2 linked regions of the Oryzias latipes genome follow. The protein of the gene in region 1 purifies or fractionates together with the protein of each later gene. This does not show direct contact. Links are inferred from orthologs where the notes say so. Each region holds a gene or a part of one and is shown on either strand. Other genes may lie near its edges. The genes, in order: slc30a1 and xxylt1.

What was found.
Region 2: the proteins of slc30a1 (region 1) and xxylt1 purify together in Homo sapiens (co-immunoprecipitation; 3 studies listed by BioGRID and IntAct, with this or other methods). This does not show direct contact. The link is inferred for Oryzias latipes from reciprocal best matches to the Homo sapiens genes SLC30A1 and XXYLT1.

Annotation. Positions count from the first base shown.
Region 1 is NC_019882.2:6,331,969-6,344,814, reverse strand, and holds slc30a1 (zinc transporter 1), read right to left. Parts: upstream 7,633-12,846; 5' UTR 7,277-7,632; coding exon 6,709-7,276; intron 5,744-6,708; coding exon 4,884-5,743; 3' UTR 3,398-4,883; downstream 1-3,397. Other genes in the region: serine/threonine-protein kinase Nek2, read right to left, coding at 8,344-8,549, 8,814-8,881, 8,984-9,038, 9,581-9,815, 9,889-10,015, 10,101-10,183, 10,316-10,556, 10,638-10,855 and 1 more. UniProt on the Homo sapiens protein: Zinc ion:proton antiporter that could function at the plasma membrane mediating zinc efflux from cells against its electrochemical gradient protecting them from intracellular zinc accumulation and toxicity.
Region 2 is NC_019862.2:13,013,290-13,025,676, forward strand, and holds the end of xxylt1 (xyloside xylosyltransferase 1), read right to left. Parts: intron 5,560-12,387; coding exon 5,163-5,559; 3' UTR 4,398-5,162; downstream 1-4,397. UniProt on the Homo sapiens protein: Alpha-1,3-xylosyltransferase, which elongates the O-linked xylose-glucose disaccharide attached to EGF-like repeats in the extracellular domain of target proteins by catalyzing the addition of the second xylose.

The sequences.
Region 1 (12,846 bases):
GTTACTTCGTGCCTTTTTGTTAAGACATATACATTTTCAAAAATTATTTATGTTAAATGTTTAACGTCTCAACTTTTTTATATCTGTACATGCTGTCATATGATTGTAATAGAAATGTTGTGCTTTTTTTTTCCATAAATGACTTTAAAAATGTGTTTCTAATTATCTATAAAGCAGCATTTCACAATTTCTATACATGTGCAGCACAATAAACTAGACAAGACTGGTGTCCACGCGACGCCAGATAACAGGGACTTTTTAGGTAGAAGTTCAGTTGAAGTATCCCATTCCATTTACTCAGTTACACTTACTGTAGTTATTGTTGGTAAACTCTTCAGATACGTTTTTCTGCTTTCTCTCCAAAGTCTGTTAACAACAGACTAGAACTTTTACTCAGTTACATGGGGCTGTATGTATGTGTCTAGTTACTGCTTTGTTCAAAACTTTTGCTCCATTTATTCCACCAACACACAATAAAATTTCTTCTGATAAAAGATAATACGTTTTTTTTAATAACATCTTGGATATAAGCCAACATGTGCTTCTAGGGTTGTGCCGATGGACGATATCATCGTCCATCGTGATGGGTGACTGACATCCCGATGGAGAGACCACCATCGTGATGCCACGCCCCCGCCACGTTGCGCGTCGACACCATAAGCCGCGGTTACATGTACAAAATATCTTGATGGGATCAATGGTCGGATTAGAATCCAACTGTGTACATGGGCCCAGAAAAAATGTTTTCAGAATATAAAAACGTTCACTAAGGTCACAATTTCGGTCGGAATAAATCATTCGCTTATGCGCAGTATTCGCAAATGCGCAGTTTGAAAACCGGAAGGGGATACAACTTCCGCCGAGCGGCTTTTTTTCCAAACTTTATTGAATGTAACAATTCAATACAAAACGATAACAGCACCGAGCGGCTATATATATTGACATGTCAGCTCGGTAAAATACGAGATGATCTTCTAAACGTGCTTTTAATAATGTTACGGTTATTATCAAACACCTGTTCGCTCATCATTTGAATTTTAATCCGTGTGGTCAGTGCTTTTTCTGAACGGAGCCAGGATTAGCAGTATGTTAACACGGGCTAACAACATTAGCTTTGGGTGGCGCTGCACGTAAACGTGTAAGAATAACATCAGCCTTTATTTAGTCGGGACACGACTGGAAACACAAATCCACGTGATTGTTTGAATGTTTTCTAAGGACTGAGCGACATTTCTGCTTTGATGCTCAAACCGCTGTGTGTGCTGACGATCCGAGCTGTGCTCAGACACACGTTTAGACCCGGTTCTGAGTTCGGTTGCTTGTACCCCTAGAGCTGCGGGACGGATCGCAGTCTTAAATCTCCCACACATACCGCTCATGTACCCCCCCCTTCCCATCAAACACAAAGCTTTAAGTCCGCGCTCCGCCGGTCCACTTCACTAATTAAGTGCGGGAGCGACTACACTTCTTTTCTATCTTGCTTGTTACTTTTTCTGTTAAAGTCACTTCCCTAATTTAAACTGGATCATCGCGGATTAACCATTAGTTGGGAGATAAAATGAAAAAAGCAAAATAACGAATAGCAGTTATACAAGAACGAAAAATGTAACACCCCCCCCCCCCCGACGATGTCATCGTCCATCCCGATGGTTGACAGCAAACATCGTCAACGGCCAAATTAGGGGACATCGCCCAACCCTATGTGCTTCTAGCATCTTAAATATTTGCAGAAAAACTTCAAACAAGGGAACGTTTATTTTTATTTCGACAATTGAAAACCTAATTTTATCATCTCCAAAAAAGGTGTAGACTCTAAACTGAACGAGCCCAACCTGTTAGTACTTTGGTACTTTTGTTGCTCTTTTAAATCCTATTCAAGTCACTTTTGGGATGACTACATTTTACTTCTACCACAAGAGCAAATGTTTACTTTTTCTCGAGTTCCATATTTGTTCACAGTTGGATGCAGCAGCACAAATGAGCTCTATTCTCCTTTAGTTTAGCTGCTTCGAGTCACGTGTCTGTTTTTTCATTTACCTTTTCTCTTTTCCAGCTTACCCAGGTTGAAAAGAGGTACCAGCATCTGGCAGTGGGGTCACGACCTCGTTTCCACCGTTGTCCCCCCCCAACAACCAGTGTTTAAAAAAGACCCTGGATAAAGCTGGAGACAGATGGCCAAATGCTGTTGCACGCCCACGCGGACAAATGATGAAGGCATCAATTTCTTCCGTAACCCTTGTGCTATCCTAGGCACTTTAACGTTGAGAGTTGGGTCATAGACCCACTAGACAGTGCGCTGAACCGTCAAGCAACACTTGACAGCTTTTACAGAGCCCTGGACATGTCCTTAGACATTTTCCCCTCAATTCAATGATTTGTGACCACAGATGGGTATTTTGTGCACACAAATTACCATTTTGGTTTTGGAAATTTCTACTGTCAATTTGTGGCCACAAAATGCAAATTTGTGCTCACAGATTTCAATTTTTGTGTGCACAAAATGCTTATTTTGGCTCACAAAATACCAAATTTGGGTCCAAAAAATACATAGTTTGTGCGCACAAAATACTAATTTGTCTGCACAAAATCAATTTTTTTTGGCACACAAAATGCCAATTTGTTGCCAAACATACTAAACTGTCCCTTTAAAACAGTAACTTGTCACAAAAAATGATAAATTTTAGGGACCATTTTTTACCTTGTCATGTTCAGGCCCTGCAGTTTTTGTAACTTTAAAGAAAAAAATGGCAACACTTTGTTGTATTAAATAAATTAAACATTTGGATTTTAATAATATAAATTTAATTTAAGTTTAAAACAAGTACAACAAATATTCTGGGAAAAAGAAAAAAAAAACTTTAGTCAGCCTGTGTTCCTTCAGCCATATCCTGCAGCCCTGAGGAATGCTGGGTAGGGCATTGCACTTGTTACTCCAGCAATGCCCTGGGACTCTTGCATAAGCCCCCTGCAGTTGGTGGCAACTCCACCGGCTTCACACCGACCATCAGCAGCTTTTCCAACTCTGCTCCCTTCTAATCACGCCACAGAGGACAGCCATGGAACTGTCATCGTCGACTTATGCAACACTTCAGATTCTGGATTACCTCCAATCGTTATCGCTGTTCAGATTGGAGGTTTTGTTGCTGCTCCGGCGTTTTCTTAGCCTTGGAGAAATATCAGCCGTTCAAGCTTCACTTCATTTATCGCTTTTAGGGGTTTAGGTTCAGCTTTTTGCAACTGTTAGCTGAATTTTGCACTATTTTTTTTTCTTTGAACGTTTTCATGAAAACTTAAATCTTCAATTATTTTGCGTTGATTTTTTAAAAACGGATCCAAGTGTTCTTGCATTTTAATGATCAAATAAAATTGTTATGATTTAAATAAAGCAAAAGCAAAGCACATTTTCTATTAAACTGTACCAAACAGTCATTTTATTTCACAAAGACATATGGGACATATACTGTATATATTTATATATATATATATGCATTTATATCAAAAACACATCAGCTGACATGTCATTTCCAAAATAAAATAAAAACGCTTTTCCATTTGCACACAAAGCCCAAGTCATAAATGACAAGAAAAGTGACCAAACATTTGAAATGTGGAATACATTTTCCAGCACACACTTAATATTGCATACACATCAAACATTAAGTGGAGACGTATCGTCCTTAGACGATCTCTGTGCTGACGGGAATAAGTCGCGCTTTTGAAAGGCCACCTGAGCCACTAGATTTCTGCAAATAGCCTGGAGTTGTCCAAACGCCATGAGACGAACCCATCCAGACGCACACGTGAGTTATATACTGGAGGATACCAGCAGGAGCTGGTAAGCAGCAAGTCAAGCTCTGGGAGGAGCGTCGTCAAAGGTCTCAGCTTGTTCATGCAAACAACAGATCGTTGTAGGAACATTTCCTCAGTGTGGATTGTGACAAGGTGCAGAACACATTCATGAAGACTTCAACATTTTCAAAGAAAAGATTGAGACAGAAAAATAGTGTATCGCTCAAAAAAAAAAAAAAATAGTGCTCTTCTCTGTACAACACACCTGACCCTCTGGCCTGCAAGGCTTCGGATGTACGAATGCATGGCCGAGTAGCAGACCGTGCTGCTAAGACGTCCACTGCGTTTCTGCTGCGCCTAGTGCTATTCCACAACATCCTGTTTGAAAGGCAAGCCCGGTCGACGCGGCTTTCGTCTCCAGCTGAAGGCCGATTCAGAGAATGGGGTGAAAACACAGATTATTATAAAAGCATCACGTCTGAGAAAGGGCAAAGATAGAAAAACAAAATCAATGTCTGTGTATCCTAACTAAAATATTCAAACAGCATCTATAGATCATATCTAATAACTTAAAAACTTAATTTATTACGCAAGAGGATATTGAAAGTCAGATTCGCTCACAGCATAAACAGTTTGAAAAGAGGTCCATAGGCAAGACTACAAAACTTGTTGATGTGCGCTCCGATGGTCCATTTATAGAAAGAAGGATTCCTCAGTCCTGCAGTGAGAAGCTTTGGCACAGAAAACACCTTTTAGGTTTGACATGTCACAGAGGAACACTCATGCAGGCCCCGCTGGAGATGTGAGGACCACGAACATGCAGAACAACCATACTGTCACGACAAGGGAAGGTGGGGAGGCAGAGGGCATTCTGGGCAGGAAACGCATCAAAAGAAGGAAAAATTGAAAGAAACTAAGGTTCATATGGATGAATGTTGGTGAAGTCGGAGCAACCATTTAAAAAAAAAAAAGTCATAAAAAAGTAAAAGTCATTTTAAGGGAAAAAGGGTGATTAAACCCTCTAAAAATGAGAGTAATGCTTAAGCACAAAGTGGTAGTTTTCCTGCTGCCTCTCTTTATGTGAAATCCCGGACTCACACAGAGGACTCCACCTCTCTGGTGACAGCAACCTCCGCCTCAGTCCGAGGGCCCCCCTGAATGCTGGGAACCTGCTCCGAAGCCTCGCTGATCACCTCTAGGCCAGAGGCAGCAGCTGCTTTAGAGTCACTGGCAGACTTCTGTCCGCAGCACAGCTTAGGAGCGCACTGAGTCCGGCAGGAAAGCTCGCACTGGGAGCCTTGAGTTTCGGAGTTAAAGGTGACGAACTCAGGCTGGATGGTGGTGGCGTGGATGCCCTCGTCGTGGAAGAAGTCCTTGATGCGTTTGGCCACATCCATGTAGGACGTGGGGTCGTGGCATTTGATGTGCGCCGTGGCAATGATTCTGCTTCCTGCCAGCTGCCAGATGTGCAGGTCGTGGATGGCCAGGACGCCGTCCAGGCTGAGCAGGCGCTCGTTGAGGCGGTGCATGTTGATCTGCTTGGGGACGGTCTGCAGCAGGATGAGAGCGGACTCTTTGAGCAGAGGGTAGGTGGTGTAGAGCAATATGCCCACCATGATGATGCACAGCGTGGGATCCAGGTAGAGCACCCAACAGGGCCCGGCTTTTGTGTCCGTGTCCTGCAGATCCACTAGAGTGTGGTTGATGTGGCGGTGGTCTGTCTTGTGGCTGTTGATGCACGGGTTCGTACAGCTTGGACCTTCGCAGGGCTTCCACACGAAAGTGAAGATGACAGAGTTCACCACCACGATGACGGAGCCCAGGGCGTCCCCCAGGACGTGCAGGAAGACGCCGCGCATGTTGAGCTGCGACGACGCATCGGCCTCGGATTCCATCTCCTCGAAGTGGGTGTTGCCGTTCATCTGCACCTCTGTGCTGTCTTTACAGCTGACCTCTGCAGAAAACAACCGTAGAAGAAGGTTTAGACTTCTGTAGTGTCACACTACATAATCACATAGACTTTGACCTCAAGATACCAGCAGCGAGTTTAAAGAAGATTGTTGTTCTATGCAACATCTGCGTTAGTCCACTGTGATATGTTCAATCACATCAACCAACATGTTTTCCCTTTTGAACAAAAGCAGCTTTTCTGCAGAGGGCTCCTCAACCTTGTGACTGATTCTTTAGCACAAGAGCTCGGGGCCATGCGCAAACCAGTGAAACACAGAAAGCAAACTTCGCATGTGGCATCTGAGTCTTCCTAATTCAGATTTAGTAACAAAAAGGCAGAGCTTAGGAAGCCGTTTCTCTCAGGGCACCTCCAGGTCGTTCATCAGGGACTAATGATGTGTCCGGGGCTGTCGAGTCCCAGAGTCTCTGATGTATGACCCACTAATAGCAATCGGTGTACAGGGGTGGAAGAAATGAAGGTTCATTTATTGAAACTGGCAGGGCTTAACAAAAGAGGAGGGTGTTCTTTACTTGATTTTAACCCTTCTTTGAATGAAGAAGGGAGGAGATAATCTTATTTTGAAATCCTTATGCACAGAAAAGATGTGTTCATAGAAACACATGAAGGCGAGGCTGTCATCAGCATCACTGAAGGGGGTCTTTTTTGAACACAAAATAAAGGCTACAAATCCCAGGTTGTTTTGATAGCTTTGGTAAAGGAGTACTTCTCACAAAGCAAGAAACGTCTTGCTTGTGTCGCAACACTTTTCAGGGATGTAGTGACTCAACAAATTATATGCATTTGAAAACAAATAAATGTCAAGACTGAAGCTGACAAGAACACAATACAGATTAGTCAGGCAGTTGTTTGAAAAGCTGATGATTTAAGGTGGAATCTGAGCTGTTTACAGTAAGATTAGGCTCAGTTAACGCCACCATGTCAAATATAATGCACGTTTCCATACATACCCATGCTTGGTTTGGTGTTGCTGGTGTGATTCCCCACCAGGTAGTTGGTCTCTTCTCCAGCAGATCCGTTCCCGGCCTTCTGGGACTTGCCATGTTTCCCCTTTTTGCCCTTACCCCCGTGAGAGTGTCCCCCGTGCGAGTGGCCGTGGCCTCCCCCGGCGTGCCCATGAAACAAGCAGAGTCCCAGCAGGTTGATCAGTAGCCCCGCCGCGCCGACCCCGGCGACCACCATCGGGCTGTCGATCTCATGGGGTTCGGTGAAACGCTCCACCGCCTCCAGCACGATGGTGAAGCACAGCGCCGTGAGGAAGACGGCGTTGACCAGAGCCCCCATCACCTCCGCCCGGATCCAGCCGAAGGTGTTCTTGTTGGTGGCCTGAGTCTTCTCGGCGAAGCGCACGGCCACCAAAGCCACGATCAGCGCGATCACGTCGGACAACATGTGAAAGGAGTCCGACAGCATCGACAGAGACGAAGTGATGCGACTGACCACCACCTCCACCAGGAAGAAGCCAAAAGTCAGTGAAAGCATACAGAGCAGGCGCGCTCGGTTGGGTTCGCAAGCCATTTTATAAATTTACTAGTATTTTTAATTCAAGTTTTAGTCTAGAAAATGTCTAAGATGTACGACAGACACCGGGACGACGGTAAGCTAGCTCCCTAACCTACGTTTAAGCTAACTGCTCCAAACAGACAATAAAATCCGAGCTACTGCGTCTTCCCGGTCTGTTTTTATCTACCACCCGCCACCATCACTCATCTACACCCAACGAACACCGCAAACATTTTTCCACAAAGCCCTAAACCTGGTAACCGTGTGAATACACCGTGTTCTTTTCCAGGATATTCCAGACTCATCTGCCGACGATTTCCAGTTTGCAGACGGTTGAAACTTTGCACCCGAGCCGGGCAAAGTTTTCACACGGAACACGAAGGGCAAGACCCGCCCATCACCGTTCCCATTGGTGAGTGGAAAACTAGAACCCATGTGATTGGTCTATTTCACCAATCACGCAAGTAGGAGGCGTGACTTAGCAGGACAACCAGGGTTGCTACGCACGCTGTCCACAACTGAAATCCCGCGACAACTCATTTCCTTTTTTTTTTTTTTTGGTCAGGCACGCTTCACTACAACTACCCTGGCTTACTCCTTCATTTGGATGGACTCACATTTGTTTTTATTAGAAACTGATGACCTCTCGTGGAGAGCAGACGTTAAATTGTCATTGGACTATGAGATTTACTGTTTCTCTTTTAACTCGTTTATGTTGATTGCTTCAAAGCAACATTTAAAATCATTTATTTACTCTTTGAATTCGTCTGTTCATAATAAATAAAAAACCCATTTGTGACATTTTTGTTTATTAATTTTCAACAGTGGTTCATAAAATCTTTTTTTTTAATGAAAGGGTTGTTAAAACAGCAATAATGTGCACACTATTTTAACACTTTCAACAGCTGCCATTGACATTTACACAATCTATAAATCATTTAAAATATAGTTGGACAACAAAGAGAGCAACAACAAAACTTGAAATACACAAGATAAATTAGCTTCACTAAAATGCCAAACAATTATTAAATAAAAACATAAAATCCAGTTGTAATTCAGTCATGAAGAACATCAGGATGCGCTCAGCGTATGCCGAGCATCTGCCTGCTCTTGAATTGGCACATTTGCTCCATCTCGCTGAGTTTTTGGGCGCGTAGCTTTGCAGCCTGCAGTCTCAATTTCATCAAGTCCTGAGACGTTGCACTCTGGCGACCCTCTGGCTGCTCATTCTCTATGTTTTCACCAGCAAAGTGGACCTTCTTCTTCCCAGGAGACAAAATCTCCGCATCTAAAATCAAACAGCAGGGATCTGATTAACACGACTTGAAAGCGCTTTTTAATAATCAGGCAGATTTCTTTTGTCAAGAATTTGGTTTGAGCTGAGAATGGCTTTAAAACTTGTTTATTGAATAAAAGTTCATTGTTAGATTACAAAAAAAAGATACTTTATTTACTTGATATAAACACAATAAATATTTCATTCATTCATAAATTCATAGCCCAGCTGTATCTAAGTTCAGTAAGTCCAGAGGTCTTTGTTGGATTCCCCTACCTATGTCTTCGAGAAAGATCAGGTCCTTCTGCTGCTGCAGCTTGTAATTTCTCAGTAAACTCTCTGCTCTAAAACAGAACATAAAAAGTAAGAATTGACTCAAGGATTTTACACGATAATTCAAAAACCAGCAGTTGTTACATTATGCAACAGACAAAAAGAGAGACTACCTTGCAAGCCTTTCGTTTGTGAGCTGTTCACGAACACACAGCTGTTGCTCCCTTCCTGACAACAGAAAACACAATTTATTTGTACAAAAAGAGAGATTATTGTTGAAAACAAAGTTTAGAAAAAAACACCTTGCATTTCAAACTTTTGTGTGTGGACAGATGTGATGGCAACACTTTGGTTGAGAGGATGGATAATCACGTTCCGACTCCTCAAGCGTTTTATAAGGAACATCAGAAACAAGTACAGCAAATATAAAATCTACCAGATTGAAGCATTTGTGAATAAATGTATTAATCAAAGATTGCTTCGAAAAGGGCTGCTTATAATTATTAAGAGAGCAAGACACCCCAAACCCCTTTCTTTGGGATGAACCCATGCGTGGGAACAGAGAAATGTTTTCTAGTTCTTGTGCAATTTGGCAGCGGAACAGTTCAAGGCCTCAAATGTTGTTTCACAATTTCAGAAAAGTATCTCAGACTCTGATAAGTCAAATCCAAAGGACTGGTTTCTCATTGAATGGAGGCCGCTGCACTCAGAATAACCAAAGAACTATATTCTCCCCTTGATTTAGCCTCAGAAATAACTTAAAGCCTTACTCTCCAGCCTCTCCTCGCGCTCCTTCAGTGCTTTCTCCCTGTCCCGCAGAGCCTGTTCCCTCCGCCTGAGCTCCACCGCTGAGACGTGGGGCGCTTCACTCAGCCTCTGCGGGGGGCTGCTGGAGTCTGCCGACTTCCTTCGGGGTCGAACTTCTGACTTTCTCTGCTCATCCTCGACCACGACACTCAGCAGACTGCTCTGAAGAATAGACTCCACAGACGGCCTCAGGTAATCCTGTCAAAAAGCAGACTGGTGCTCAGCAGATCGTCTATTGCAGGATGAAAACAATCAATCCTTTATTTCAGACCTTCAAGTTGAGCATTCTGCTGATAAGAGAGTTCAGTTCCTCGGAATAACGGAAAGGAATTCTTCTAAACTTTCCTTCCCTGATCTTCTCTGCTAACTCCTTCTGGTTGTAAGCAGTGAATGGAGGCCTCAAAGAGGAAAAAATCCAAACATGAATTCATTAGATCAAACAGCCGAGGGAGCGGATGGAAAAGCTTAAAAAAAAAAACTTACGATAATGCGCAGAGTTCATACAGCAAACATCCCAATGACCAAATATCTGACTTTTCATTGTATGACATCCTATTTATTTGTTCCTGAATGAATAGAAAGTGTAAAAAACTAATCAATAACAAGTACAATATTTTTTTTACCTTGTAAATGTCCTTTAGAGATTTTTTTTAGAGAAAAAATAATTTAAAAAAAGCCAAAAATGTTAAATAACTTACTGGAGACATGTAGTATGGTGTGCCAACAAATGTCTTTGCAAAGCTGGTGTCGTGGTTCAGAATCCGAGCTAAACCGAAGTCGCCGAGTTTTACGTTCTGGTTTGCATCGAGGAAGATGTTGGCTGGTTTTAGATCCCGATGAAGGACGGTGGCTCTGCCGTCGCGCCGCCGGTGACACTCCTTTAGTGCCAGAGAAAGCTGCACCATGACTCGCAGGATAAACTGCTCCTCCAAGTACTTCCTGCCATTTAAAAACAACACATGATGATGCAGATAGAAAGAGGATGACTGCTTTTTCTTTCTTCCCATTTGCTCTATTTACCTCTCTTTGATACACTTGCTGATGAGACAAGACAGATCGCCACCTTCACAGTACTCCATGATGATGTACAGCATGGTATTACGGCGGTCTATAATGCGGTCGTAGTACCTCACAATGTTTGGGTGCTTGAGTTCCCTCAAGAGGTTGACCTCTGAGACCAGCATCTGTTTCTCACACTCAGCCATGGTGCCATAATCGAGCTCCTTCCACACAAGAATCTAGAGAGCAGAGATGCTTTAACCATCAAGAACATGTTCATCTTAGTCCTTTTTTCAAACTTAAAGTTCAAGTGTTTGAGTAAAAAATATTATGTTTTACTGATAAATGACAAAAAACATTTAAATGCTACATTTCCTTGATACTGAATTATGTTTAAAGATTTTTTCTTGTGAAATTAATGTCAGAAAAACTGTAATTTCCCAAATATTAAAGTACATTTGTGTCGTTATTGATTTACAGAGAAGCAAGTCATTGTTTTTTTTTTCATGACTTATCAATTAGATAACATTCACACCGTGTATTTATGTATCTTTATTTAAGAAAATACTGTATGCGTGTCTTGTGCCATAAATACTCACTTTCCCGTCACTCTTTCGTTTTATTTTCTGGCATCTTCCATAGGAGCCCGAGCCTATCGTGTACAGCACTTCGTAGTCATCAACACAGGACGGCATCTTGCCTTCGTCAACCGAAACCAACGTTAAAAGTTTCCAAACTTCACGTTAGCGTCAAATGTAAAGATAGGCCTTAGAAAAGTTGAACATCTAATTCAAGTAGTTACTTAAATTATGTTTTTTGCTCATCCAGATAATAAAGAAGTCCAAAGCCGATCTCCTCAAAACACTCGTGTTCTTTGGCATCAGTTGAAAACACAGGAAGTGCTGCTTCTCCGTTTAAATCGGTGCCAGAATTCTTACCTCTAATTGGCTCGTTCCCACGGGCACGACGGTCTCTGATTGGTCAAACAAGGACGCATTTGTTCACGTTGCTAAGAGCTGAAAACCCGCGAGATTAGAGCGGGAAGAAGCATGTTTATTCCCTGTCCACTAGAGGGCACCAAAAACAAGCAGTAGATTTACGGATTTGTTGACATATAATTGAACATACTAGATACAAATAAAACGTTTATTTGGGGAACGTGGGGAACAATTTGGGAAACAATATTGCTACAAAACACTTTTTTCGTATTATCCACATATAAATTGATTTTTCAAATAAAGCCAAGTGCACTTTTTTCTTTTGCATTTAAAATAACTAGTCACATGAGAACAATCCTTCGATTGAATTTAATAAATTTAACCCTGTCGGTAGCTTGTAAATGTACTTAAAGGTCACTGGCTCATCCAACAGCATTTTCTAAGCATGCATTCTAAGATGGATGGGAAGCAGATCCTACAGTCATCGGTCCCTTGATTTGACCTGCAGGGCAGTGAAAGACAGTGACCTCTCACAGTGCTCCTACATCTGCCATGGCTCTGAATTCACTTCATTGCTTCACTGCAGCAGGATGCCTTCTGGCACGACGGTTTAAGGAAAAAAATGCTGGCGTCACATTGTATTTTTCAGACTGAAACACAGAGCGAAAACATTCAAACGGCTTTGGATCATCTCTAGCATTGTGCACCTTTTCATCCCTTTTCTGGTGCTGTGACAGATTGACAGGTGGGAAGTAGCATGTTGGTAATTTCCAGCCCGTGAAATTGAAGCGTGACTGGAGCAAATCCTAACCACGACAGCTGGTTTTTGTGAACGTGTGATCCGTACTGGAGATGGATGCAGCGTCTGGGACAGTGGTCTAGCCTCTCAGTGGGGCAGCCAGCATAACAAGTCAGATTATCCCCACAACTCTGTCTGCTCTTGAGAGAGTGTTGGACCGGTCTGCCAAAAATCCCTCCGCCAAAGGTCACTGTTTCAAAAAGCTGGACATCAGCCAGGGACAGTTGTGAGGTGGAAGAGAGAGGAAGGAGAGACACCATTGGAAAACTGGCAGCTGAAGACAAGACGTACAGGTGGCTCAGGCCACTGTGATGTCAACTGCCCCCCATTAGAGGGAACGAGCAGAGCCCGAGCGACAATAACCCCCTCACCTGAGGCACAAATTGGTGTCGCAACAGTCGTTGTGACTTAAGACTCCTTTTTCTGGGTCCAGAAGCAGGAGCAGGAAAAGATAGCTCTATGGTTATTGCTACTTTTTCTATTTTTGTTGAAT
Region 2 (12,387 bases), on another chromosome or scaffold:
CCTTGTGCTATCCTAGGCACTTTAACATTGGGAGTTGGGTCATCTAGACCCACTAGAAAGTGCACTGAACCTTTTTTCTTCAATGATTTGTGAACCTCACTGGTGTCCATGGATGACATGAAATCTTTCCACCTTTATCCACCTTTGTCATGGTGGGGAGAACACGTCAATGTAAGGGTGGGGTCATCAAAGATAGCACAAGGGTTAAAGATGTAAGGCAACAGAAACTTTTTTTAAATTAATTATGAATCATGTCATTTTAGGCTTTTGATTTAAAACACAGTAGTTTGAGCTACATTTGGTAATTAATATTTATCAATTAAACCAAGTTTATCTATGAAGCCCTTTTCATGTAAACTTTTAAAACACGTCCCAATTACATTAGTCAAAAGAAATAAGAATGAAAGGAAAAGAATAATTTAAAATAATTGAATTTTCCATTTATTGCTTATTTAAATCCTCACAGAGCAAGGACACGTCATGAATTTATTTCCATCTACGCTTTGACTAACTCACAGCACAGATTCTAATTAGGTGCGATAGCAAAACGCTGCACAAAAAGTCAATAAAACCTGTCTGATGCTCCCAGAGGTCAAACGGTTGGATGACAAAGAACTGATTTCCATTTGAATCAAAAGATTTGCTCTTGAATTCAGGCTGTTCCAAGACAGCTTTTATTCATCACCTGAACCTGATCTTTAAAGACGACAGGTGTTTGACGCAGGATGCTTTCAATTTGTGATTCAGCAATGCTGCAGTTAAGACAAACAATGATTAATGAACGCTGGGTTGTTCGGCTTTGTGTCGAGTGCCTGAGCTGCGGTGACAAAGAAGAGAATTTGCAGCAGGATGTTGCAGATAAGCACATTCTGCAGCCACTAAGTGAAAGCAAAACAAGCAGTGCTTCTGTGGAGAGACCGACAGATAGAATGGGGGACAGAGGAAGCGACACGTCGGACAATCTGTTTGGGAAGAAATTGGCCTACATTTTTTCCCCCGAGTGGAACAGAGTGTTGAACACTCACATGCACTATGGAAAATCCTTTGTATATGTTTAGGTTTATTGGCTCCAGATCCATTTGTTGTCAAACAGGTTGGACGGCCCTCAGTGATCATTTTAGCATCATTTAGCAACATCAAATCAAACATGCAAAAAAGAAGATGCAGCTACTTTGTTCTAGATACATTCAGAGATTACCTATAACTTCAAATTACTGATAATAACCTTGGGATTAAGCTGTTTTTAGTATAAATATGTGCATGAAAAACACATAAAGGTTATTTCTGCCCAGAAACAAAGTAGAAATAATTAGTGCTGGCTGATGAAAGCAGGATGAAGGATTTATTACAAGAGGTGTAATAAATTGCAGGGAATAAAATAAGATGTAATAAAGGTTTGCTGCTTAAGCTATACAGGGAAAAGCTTAAAGAGTAGATTTCTGATGCTGCACCTTATTTTTTGCATCACCTCATTCACACCAATGCTGAACAACTGTCATAATTTTAAAACTACATTACATCTCTTTCTATTTCTCCAAAACATCTTAAACCTTGAGGCTGAAAGCCCTCAAGAAACACATAACCTTCTTTTTATCTTAGTTCTTATACAGTCATCAGCCTATTTTGGTATGAAAAGGGCATTGAATATGATTCAGCAAAGTGAAAATCACTGGAAAAAGGGAATATAAATGAAAAAGAATACATATAGGAAACTCGATAAAGAGGCTTTTTAGTTTCAAAGCCAGAGGTCAAGGCTGGTTATTTTCCTGTGAAGCTTTTAAACTTGTGTTGGGAGTATAGGAGTGACAGAAATGGGTCATGTCTAGCTGGAAGCAGACAAATGAGCGCACAGACATGTGCTTATATAATGGAGAACATGAGGATGTTCCCTTCACAGGATTATTCTGAACCCTGCAGTGGATCACAGCCTTGTCTGTCTGTGGACATGAGGGTTAGAAAGCTCTGCTTCCAAACCACACAGATACCAGCAAAGTCAATCCTCATACCGGTAATTAGTTTTTACAAAATTGATTTTAAAGATACCAGAAATATGCTCAACGTTTGGTTCAAAATTCTTCCTAAAGGTTACATTTTGCTACATGGTTACAATAAAACGTTTATAAAGGAATGAGGGGACAAGTCTTCGTTGTTAAACCCAGGGGAACTTAATAGTTGTGTGATCGTCAGGCTTTATTCAACGAAAGGAAACTTGGTGATGAGGTTTCTCTGTAAGGTTACTTTGTGGTGTGGCAAGCATTACCTGAAGAACAGTGCATAACTTCTGCTGCGTGTTTTTTGGGGATCAAGTAGTTTACGGCTTAGTTAGACACAACTGCCCTTAGAGGTGAATACGGGTGAAAAATGGGCAAACTTTTTAGAGACACAGGGGTGGTCTGCAAAAAATATCCAGCTCGTAGAGCGTGATTATTCACGCACATTCTTTTCTACAGGCGACAGGTCATAGGGAACACTTAACAAGGGTACTTACAAGGGTAAGTAAAGGTTGAAATAGGGGAGACACGTACTTGTCGTACGCATTTTTCTTTTTTATTAACTCCACTCCAAATTCTGTTCGTTTGGGCTGTTTAAATCAAATTGTGCGCCCCTTGCACACAGTCTGACAGTTAAAAAAGAGGAAATGAGACAATCAGAATGTGGTTTGTGTGGGCATCCTATGGGGTCCTACAGGTACTCATATTTGCACGCCATCAGTAAAGAACCTTACTGACGACTAGACTGCAACATGAAGGGCACCGTCCAACAGCATCACCCGTACGTCCTAAGTGCGAGCAAATGACATGATCCTTACAAATATATCACAATATACTTAACACAGGCAGGACAATCATACGTTGCATATGAAAATGCCAAAAGGGAACTGAAAGGCACAGCCGCTCCTCTCTACAACCCCTCTGCGGGGCCTGGACAACCCAAAAACCTGCTGCAGCCATACGGGTCAACCCAGACATGGTGCATGTGACTAAAGCTTTACATACCTGGAGGAGGTGCTGCAAAACTGCTGCATAAGATTCCAAAATACGTTTAAATAGGAAAAAAATCTTATGCTTTAATGTGACTAGTCCAAAATACAGACTACCGGTAAAAAGATTGTTAAAGGCATCCCACAATGTAAATATTTGGTGCTTTACTACCTTCTTTGAAGACCAGAAGCGCTTTACAGTGACAGTCAGATTCATCCCCAAACACACACACAAATTCACACACTGATGGCGGCTCCGTTGCCAAACACTGGTACCAATGTGGGGTTCACATTGCGTCTTGCCCAAGGACACTCCGATGCATGAGTGGGCAGGGCAAGAACTGAACCTGTGATCTTGCTGATCAGAAGTCAACCGATCTACCTCTACACCACGGCTGCACAGATACCCTTTCACCTCTTTATCCATCTTCCAAACCAATTTAATCTCGTTTGGGGTCATGAAGATGCTGGATCCTATTCCAGCTACGATTGGGTCATCAAGTGGTGGTAGGGTCACACACTCACAATTTAGCGTCGCCAGTTAACCCATGCAGCATGTTTTTGGGATGTGGGGAGAAAGCGGATGCAAACTCCACACAGAAAGGTCCCAGCCAGGATTTGAACCAGGGTCTTCTTACTGTGAAATGAAAGCTCCAACTACCACTACATTACCTTGTAGCGCCTCTTTCACCAACCTATAAGTCAAAATGATGGAAAGGAATTAAAAATGACTCAGTAAAAACTAGTCACTTTTCAGATGACAGCCCCTAAACCTACTACTATGATGGAATCAACCTGGATGAATGAGAGTCTTCATAGACAGTCTCTTTTTTGCTTGCATCGCACAAATGTAGCAGTTGGGTCTAAAGTCCGACTTGATTCATGAGACCAATCTGACAATTTGTGCTTTCAACACGGTCCTCCTTTTGGAATGCAGCGTTCCTGCACACAAAGGACAGCCAAGGGGGAAACGGGCAGACAATATGGCGTCTAAACAAATCCCAGCAAGATATCCACTTCCCATTCTCTATTGACTCAGCATAATGAGCTGCTTTGATACAGTTAAAGAGTCGCTACATTTCAGTTTCATAGGAGCTTTATCTTTTAAAGAAAGCAGCGAAGGAGACAAAGACACAAATATGTTGAATTCTGAGAAAACCGATTCACTTTTGCTTTTTTGTGTGGCTATAATGTGAAAATATGAATCTCAAAATATCTTTTGAAGGTTCTAAAAAGAGTTTTAACAAACCCGTACTTACCAATATCTTTGAGCAGAAACTCAAGGATTTCTACACTTACCATTCACTTGCAGACCAAATGGATCATTCAGACTGGTTGTAGTCTCAGTCAACTGACCAAATAACTTTTTCCAAACATGACTCCTCATTCAAAAAAAACAAAAACAAACAATAAAATATAAGTTATCACATTGTTTTTATTTTCAAATTCTGTGTGTTGAAAAATGTTCCTTATACTTTCATTTTCATGAAATTATACAATTGTTTCAGTAGTTGCCACATTTTCTTTTTTAGTCCAAATGTCAGTTCTGTTTTCACAGAGCCAGTAAAGACAAAGTGGGTCAGCGTCTGGACCGCCCACTGATGTAGGTTTGTGTTTGGCCTCGGTAAAATGCAAATGCTGAGCGCAAAACATGATCATTAATGCTCCATTGACTCACCTCTTTTTCCACCAGCTCATGGAAGAAGCTGCCACAGTGCTGCAGAAAGATGAAAAGTCCACCGTTGTGTTCATTTTCATCAATATTAGAATGTTTTTATCTATAATGCCAAAAACCTTTTTTCTATTGATTTGTTAAGATTTTAAAGTTTGTTTTCAATAGAATATAAATTAAACATTTATTTTTCTTAAGGTATAAACAGAAACATTAATTTGCATGAAATTATGCAGGTTTGAATGACACGGCAAAGCCTACAAAGATGAGAATCCTTTTTATCATTTGTGCTTTGCTCTTATGTTGTAATCCAGAACATTTCTCATCGGTACATTAATTTGGAGTGCTTTGGTTCTGCCCTCCTAGCTAACAGCTTCACTAGTTAGTCCGTCATGAACCCCTTGGCAGGCACAGGTCAAGTTTGGAAAGCGTTGAAGAAAGTCAACCAATCCAGTTGTGCCTCCCAACAAGAAGGAATCCTAAAGAACATGTGAGTGGCGGTGACGTAGTTCAGTCTTCTGGTATGGGGGAATTACAGTTTCCATGGTAGATATAAACAGGTCCCTCGCAACGATAGTACAACTGAAAGACGTCTGCGTAACCGTGGTCCCTCCACCAGGTGCACAGCTGCCGGTTCCAGCCGCAGGGTAAGGAATAAAACAGGTTAGGATGCTCCATGCCAATCATAGTGAAGAAGTCCTGGTCACCCAGGTGACCTCTAAAGCGATACTTGTCTGCCAGTTTGGCAACATTACTTGGCTCTAGAAGCTGGTTATAGAGAGCTGAGGCCCTCATTCCCTGCAGGTCCAATAGCATCACGCCACTGTTGAAACCTGGGAGTCCGTCAGGAGGAGGTTCTCCTACTTTGGTCTGGGGGTTCTCCTTGCGGTACTGCCAGAAGGTGTGTCTGAGGAAAGAGAGGCAGTGTGGTTGGTTATGTTGAAGGCACTTATCAACCAAGTTGCCAGCAACTTGGCCCTGCAACATGTTCATCAAGCTTTATGAAAAGAAAGATCTGTGAAAGCATGAACCGTCCGATGCGCCGCATCACGTAACATATAGTACATATATATATAACATATAGTCCGCGTGGCGCAGCACCACCGCTGCAGTCAAGATTCGGCGATATATATATGCTGATCGTCCCGATGGGTTGAATAAATCATCAATTCAGAGGGAAAGTTAATCGCTTACCGCTTGTTTTTGCCCAGATGATGATGAAGCAAAAGGTTGTTTTACAGAAGCCGGCGCAGTGATACAAATCATTTAAACTAGCCGACCGGAACTTCTTTTTTCACCGTGAGATTATCAGGTTTTAACGCATACCCAGCAGCCGATCAGAATCGAGTATTCACCCAGACCATGGTATAATACATGTTAAGTATTGGATCCATTCTCTGAACCTGCTGAATCTCTTTCAGGGTCGTGGGGTTGCTGGAACCTGTCCCAGTTCTGTTGGGCGAAGGCAAGGAACACTCTGGATATGTTCCCAGTCGATGTGCGGGTCAAACAACCATAAACACACACTCAATCAGGTCACTGGTCTGTCGAAAGGCCACACGACCACACATTCACACTAAGGGGTATTTTTGGAAACACCAATTAACCTACGATCAACCCATGAGGCGTGTATTTGGACTGTGGGAGGAAGCCGGACTGGTCTGAGAAAACCAATGCATGCACAGGGAGAACATGCAAACTCCAAATAGAAAGGACCAAGCTGGGATTCAAACCAGGGCCTTCTCACCGTAAAGCAAAAACACCAACCACTACACGACTGTGCAGCATAACAATAGGTTACAAAATAAAAAATCTCATTCTTTAATTCAAACTTTACAAGTGCAACACCAAAGACAGATCTGTGCTTTACCAGCTTGTCATAAAGAGTTTACTATACCACTATAAACATGTTGTTTTGATATTATAATTTAAAAAAATTACATTTGAGCATTATCGTATCAAAAAACCTCAAAACATGATTTCAAGCTACTTTTTGTTTTTTTTTTAAGAATCAAATGGAACAGAAATAGATGCATAACTTGGTCAAGTATTCTTCTGTCAGTTTTCAAGTGTTCCTATTGAGAACTTCTGTGCTTCACCAATTTTTTTTTAATCTTAAGAAAATGTGTCTTTTTTTCTGTCTTGCAAAATAAAAGAATCTTATTACGAACGTTTTTCAATAGTAAAATAACCTTAGTTTAAGCAAATACGTCTTAGCAACTATAATTTTGCTTCTTCACATAATATTTGTTGGTATTTCTCACACCCCATAGGCAGATTTTTCTTTACTTAAAGAAATATGTTCAAGTTCTAAGATTTTTTTGACTTATTTCTAGGGGGCCTGTTTTTGCAGTGTAAACACAGGGATGAACAATAATATACTCCAGCTTGAACACAAGGAAACATACACACAAAGAAATTATTTTTAGCCCTGACTGAGCTGTAGGTGAAATATTAATGGGCCGCTTTGCAGGCTGCAGTAGGACATTTATTTTCACCACTAGATAAAAAAAAAAAAAAAACACCCTTGACTTTCTTGGAGTGAATATTACATGTGGGAACTTTTCTTAAAATAAACATGCTTTGTAAAGAGGCCCTGTAGCCCTCCATGAGGAGTTCATGAAGTGCATTAGAAATACATTCTCAAGAGTCAAGATCTGATATTTTTACTGACCTACACTGAGCAGCTGTAGTCTGTCCCCTCTGCTTTATCCAGCTGGAGAGCTGCTAGCAGGGGACCTGAAGCCTCTGTGGAGCATTTATCATCATCTGGAGGACACGGTCTACGTGCCCTGACACACATCATGGGTGAATGTGGTTTTATTAGGAAACATTTATGACAAAGAGTCGTTAATCTATTCTGGAAATGTGACAGTTAAAGCTCAAGGCAACTCCATAATGTTTTTGTTTGATTTGATTTGATTAAATATATGAGCATATATATTTATTTATAAACCTATTTATTGGCTTTTTGTTATAGTCAGGTTTTAGCTAAAATACTAAGTAAAAAAAATCTTTCAAAAATTTCTATCATGTGACAGCAAAGGCAGCAAAGATCAAGACAACACTTACCACCATGCTGCCAAAACTTCCATCTGCTCCTAGTTTTTTCTTTCTTGAATGGAACGGGCCTCCAAGTCATGACAGAATTAAAAACATTAGGGGATGACAAGGATGTTCTGTGCCGTCTTCTCGTCCGAATGTCTCAGGACACGGAGTAGCCGTCTCTGAACACTATGTGGGACCCTCCTGCTGCCCTCCTGTTATTCTTTTTGGTCAACATGAATGAAATGTCCTCTACTTTTCACCAAACAAGAGAACAAAATTCCAACACTGAAAAAAGAAGCCTTCAGACAAGATGCTGCTGCAGACACTCCAAATAAATAAATCATGAATTCTGTTGATTATTCTTCTAAATCAAGACTTTCCTTTCCCTGCTTTTATAGGAGCATCACCACTGACCAGGGATACGATGAACAAAATACAAAATAAATTTAAAAAGAATTAATCAAAGCCTTTCAAAATAAGATTGCTTTACCATTTTACCTCACAATCTCCAACAAAATGGTTCAGTATAGGTGCCTCACAACAAAAAGACACCGCATGAAGACCGAATGGTTTTCTTTCTGTACCAGCCTTCTCTCACAGAACATGGCTCATTTCAAAAGGATAAAATGAAAAACCTGTTTACAGCGTACTTGTAAATGTGTATTGCTCTCGCTGTTGCAACAGCAGGCGGGAGACACACATCTTTTCATTTTATTTCATTTCCCATTATTGAAACTCTGGTTGGCAGGAAGTGCAGTGAATGAGGCTGGTCGGAGGAAGTGTTTTTTGCACTACGCTGTGTCAATGCGCACAAAAACAGAGTGAGAGCTGACAGGAAAACACTCCAGTCGGGGACACACACAGGGCCTCTCCAATCCCTGGCTTTAAAATGAAAACTCCACAAAGACAACCAGCCATTAGCTAATGGGTGACAAAACAGCTCGCATTAATTTGGAGCTGGCTGAAGATGTGGTTCTGAAATGTTCATTCGCTTCAAATTTAAAAAAAGTTTAATGAACTCAGACAACCAGAACCCATCTGAAAGTACTAGTCAACACAGGAAACTGGAAGTAACTAAAAGATTTTAATAAAAACCTTAACTTAAAAAAAATGATCTGAACCAAGACCAATAACTAAATCTGCAATTGATCTAATAAGAATCAGGTTATGTCAACAGTGTAAAAAACCCACAGAAAATAAATGTGTTGAAAAAAACGCGAGAGGGGTGGGATTATTCGGGGTGTCTAGTTGTTGTTGTTTCTCTTTCGGCTTTTCCCAACAGGGGTCGCCACAGCGAACGAGTCGCATGGTAAACTTGGCAATGTTTTACGCCAGATGCCCTTCCTGACGAAACCCTCTCAGAGCAACCGGGCTTGGGACCGGCACAGAAGGGAACAGGGAGCAGCCCGGAGTTGAACCCTGGTTTCACGGACGGAAGGCGCTGCAAACCAGCACGAGCTAAACCGGCTCCCATTCGGGGTGTCTAGTGATTAACAAAAATTCAATTTAAGAAGAACACTAAAACTCCAATTTAATCCTATATGTACAAAGAAAACGAAACAAACAGCTAGAGTCTGCCATTTCTTCCTCTACACGTGATTGGATGGCCATGATCCCTACTGTACCAAGCTTTTTGGCAAACCGCGCCGTTTGCTTCATTAGGCTTTCCATGAACAGGTTTAAACCACCACAACTACGGTAATCCCTATTTTCTAGCCATTTCTTTGTGAATTTGCACTTTCCCACTTTTCCAAGCCAATGAACGTGAGCTAATTAGTTTAGATGAGGTTAAACAATTTTATGATCAGGTTATGAGCGCATCCTGGAAATTTTTTTTTTCTCTTTTTTTTAAGTGACAAAAAGTCACATTGCGTTGAGAAAAAATGTAAGACTTATTCACCAGAATTTAAGATATGTTAATGGTCTTAAGGCCTTATTTTAATCAGATTAAATGTAAGACTTTTTAAGGATCCACTGCCACCCTGATGTATAGATTCTCTTCTTCTCATTCCCCTATCAAACAACTAATAAAGCTATTTGGCAGTCCATATGTTTAATGGATCCAAAATAACCTGCAAATATTTATCTATTTATGATTATGAGCAATTACACTATTAATAACAATATATTCTACCCTATCTTTTTTTAATTGTATTTAACCTTTAACCTTTTGGCATTCAGAGCGAACAGCAAAGTAAAGGCCCGTACACACCGGGACGAATATTCGCCAGGCGTTATTCGCCATGTCTTTTGTGTTCACACCCAGGCGATTTTCGCTGACGATGAGCCGAGCGAACATGCAATTTCATTCCCTGACATTAGATGGCGCTTAATGTAAACAGAAATACTCCTGTACACAAGGTGGCGCTGCGCAACTTTACGATTCTTAAAGTCGCTTTTCACTCAGAAGAAGAGAGCAAGTATTTACGCGCTTGTCAGAATAATACAAAGAAAACATGAATATTTCAAGCATCAGTAGCTCCAACTGGTGCTTGGTTCAGGGATATTTAAGAATGTCCGTCATTATTTCTTCGCAGCAGTGTAGACGCTACTCGGCGTCTGTCTTTTTCGCTGGTATATGTGCTCAGCAAGGCAGTTTTGTGTTTGAGCGCCCCCAAGTTGTGTTTTACTGTAACTTCAGAAGCTCCAGACACGTGTGCAAAAGCGCCATTCTCATTGGTCGAATAGATTTCGACGCGACGCGTCGAGAAAAAAAAAACGAACCCGAGGCGTTTGTTTTTTTTTGACGCTTTGGCGCGTGGCGTTTTTTCGCGTCGGTTCACACTCACATTGGTGCCCTTTGTTTAGTCACGAGGCGTTAAACGTCGGCGAAAATCGCCGGCGAAATTCGTCCCGGTGTGAACAGGCCTTAAGCATCTCAAACATCTCCTTGTACATTGAATCATTGAATCATTAAGAAGATGGTATCATCTCCTTTTATTTTTGTTTATTTTCTTGATTTTCTAATCAATGTATGACTTCATATCTGAAATAGCTTTGATATAGCTGCGTTTTGTCATTTTTTCTGCATTATTCCAAATCAAATCAAACATTCCTTGTAGTTGTGCAAGTATGATCACCAACTGCTGTTTTGGTGGAAAGACATTTTTTTCTGTGACGTAAACCTTCAGCTGCCTTTCAGACATTTCAATTTCCTTTAGGAATAAAAAAAACAACAATAAAAACATACTTTTAAAATAAACAAAAATTCCACAGAGGAATTTGAACACAAGAACGCAATATCATATTTTCAAAACTGACAGACACCAAATTGTAAAAGTTTTTCCAGAAGCTTGGAGGCCAGATCTCCTGTTTTGCTGTTGTCTCCCTTGAATTATGTGTCTGGGCACAAAAGCAACAAAGCGTGGGATTCAATAGACCCCTGAGCTGATACAGTAACAGCACTGGCACGGACATTTGTTTGGGGTTGAAATGGGGCCATGGATGGAGCCTGGAATGAAGACCGGGGCACAATTTCTACAAACAAAAAACTTAGAGCTGGAATCCCACTAGGGGAGGATTGGATTAACTCATTTAGAAGTGAGGAACCTTCAGGCACTAAACAAGTCCTCTCAATCATGACATTAGAGGCAACACTTCTTATTTTTCCTTCAACAGGACGAGCAGGTATCTTAATTTGAAAGAATTGCTTCATGATCAAAATAAAAATAAAAATCACATACAAAACTAGAGGGATTGACGGCGAAATTATAATCTAAAAAACAAAACAATATCTTTTGAAACAAAAATATTAAGTTTAAGTAGACTGTTATTATTTTTAAGGCAAAAAAGAACAAAAAGGTTCAGTGTGTAATGAATGTGCAGTGTTTCATCTAGCTTCAAAGTAGCATGGTTTCTATAATCAGCCTTTTACCTGCAGCCAGGTTTGGTTCTGTTATTGAGATGTGTCTGCAAGACATTCATATTTGGAACTTAAGTTTCAAAGTCAAGCACTGAGAATATTTGGATAAAATCCTTGTAGAAACGAAGGTTTGGATCTCTCCACAGATGCTTTTTTTTTGGACTAGTGAGTCACAAACCTCTAAATGGACTAAAGGCAGTACAGCACTCCACTTGACGCTTCAACTAACCTATATTTCTAAATGGGCCCATTGGAAAAGTGCCTCTGTTTATGTCGTTCAGTAGCTGCTCCATGAAATATTCCACCTGCTCATGCTTCGCCGTCTGTTTAAACACGTCCGCACAAACAGACGTCCTGTTTTGATGCAGTGCTTCAGTGGAAAACAGAGGGAGAGAGTCTAAACGGAGCAAGCTTGTTTGTTTTACTTGTTTCAAAAAAGATGGAAAATAATCAGAAAATGAACAAAGATCGTGAAATTGTTTGTGTGCATACATGAAAACACGCACACAGATGAACACAACTGTCTTCAAATCAGCTAAGATGAGTTGATTTATTAGCTTTTATTGTTTACTTAGTAACGACTGTTAGCTTCAGAGCATAAATTTTTCCCCTTTGGACACTGTTGCATCAATAAAAATAAAATGGTTTTCATGAATAGACCTTCTGGGGATAAAAACCGTGTGCAACTGGTTAACTGTACTTTAAACATAATCTCTGCATCTCTACATTATTAGACGCTTTAAAGGATAAATAATTACCGGTAAATGGCAGATTTGAAGATTTTAAGCTTTTTTTCTCGCCACATACAGTCTTTTGAAAGCACAA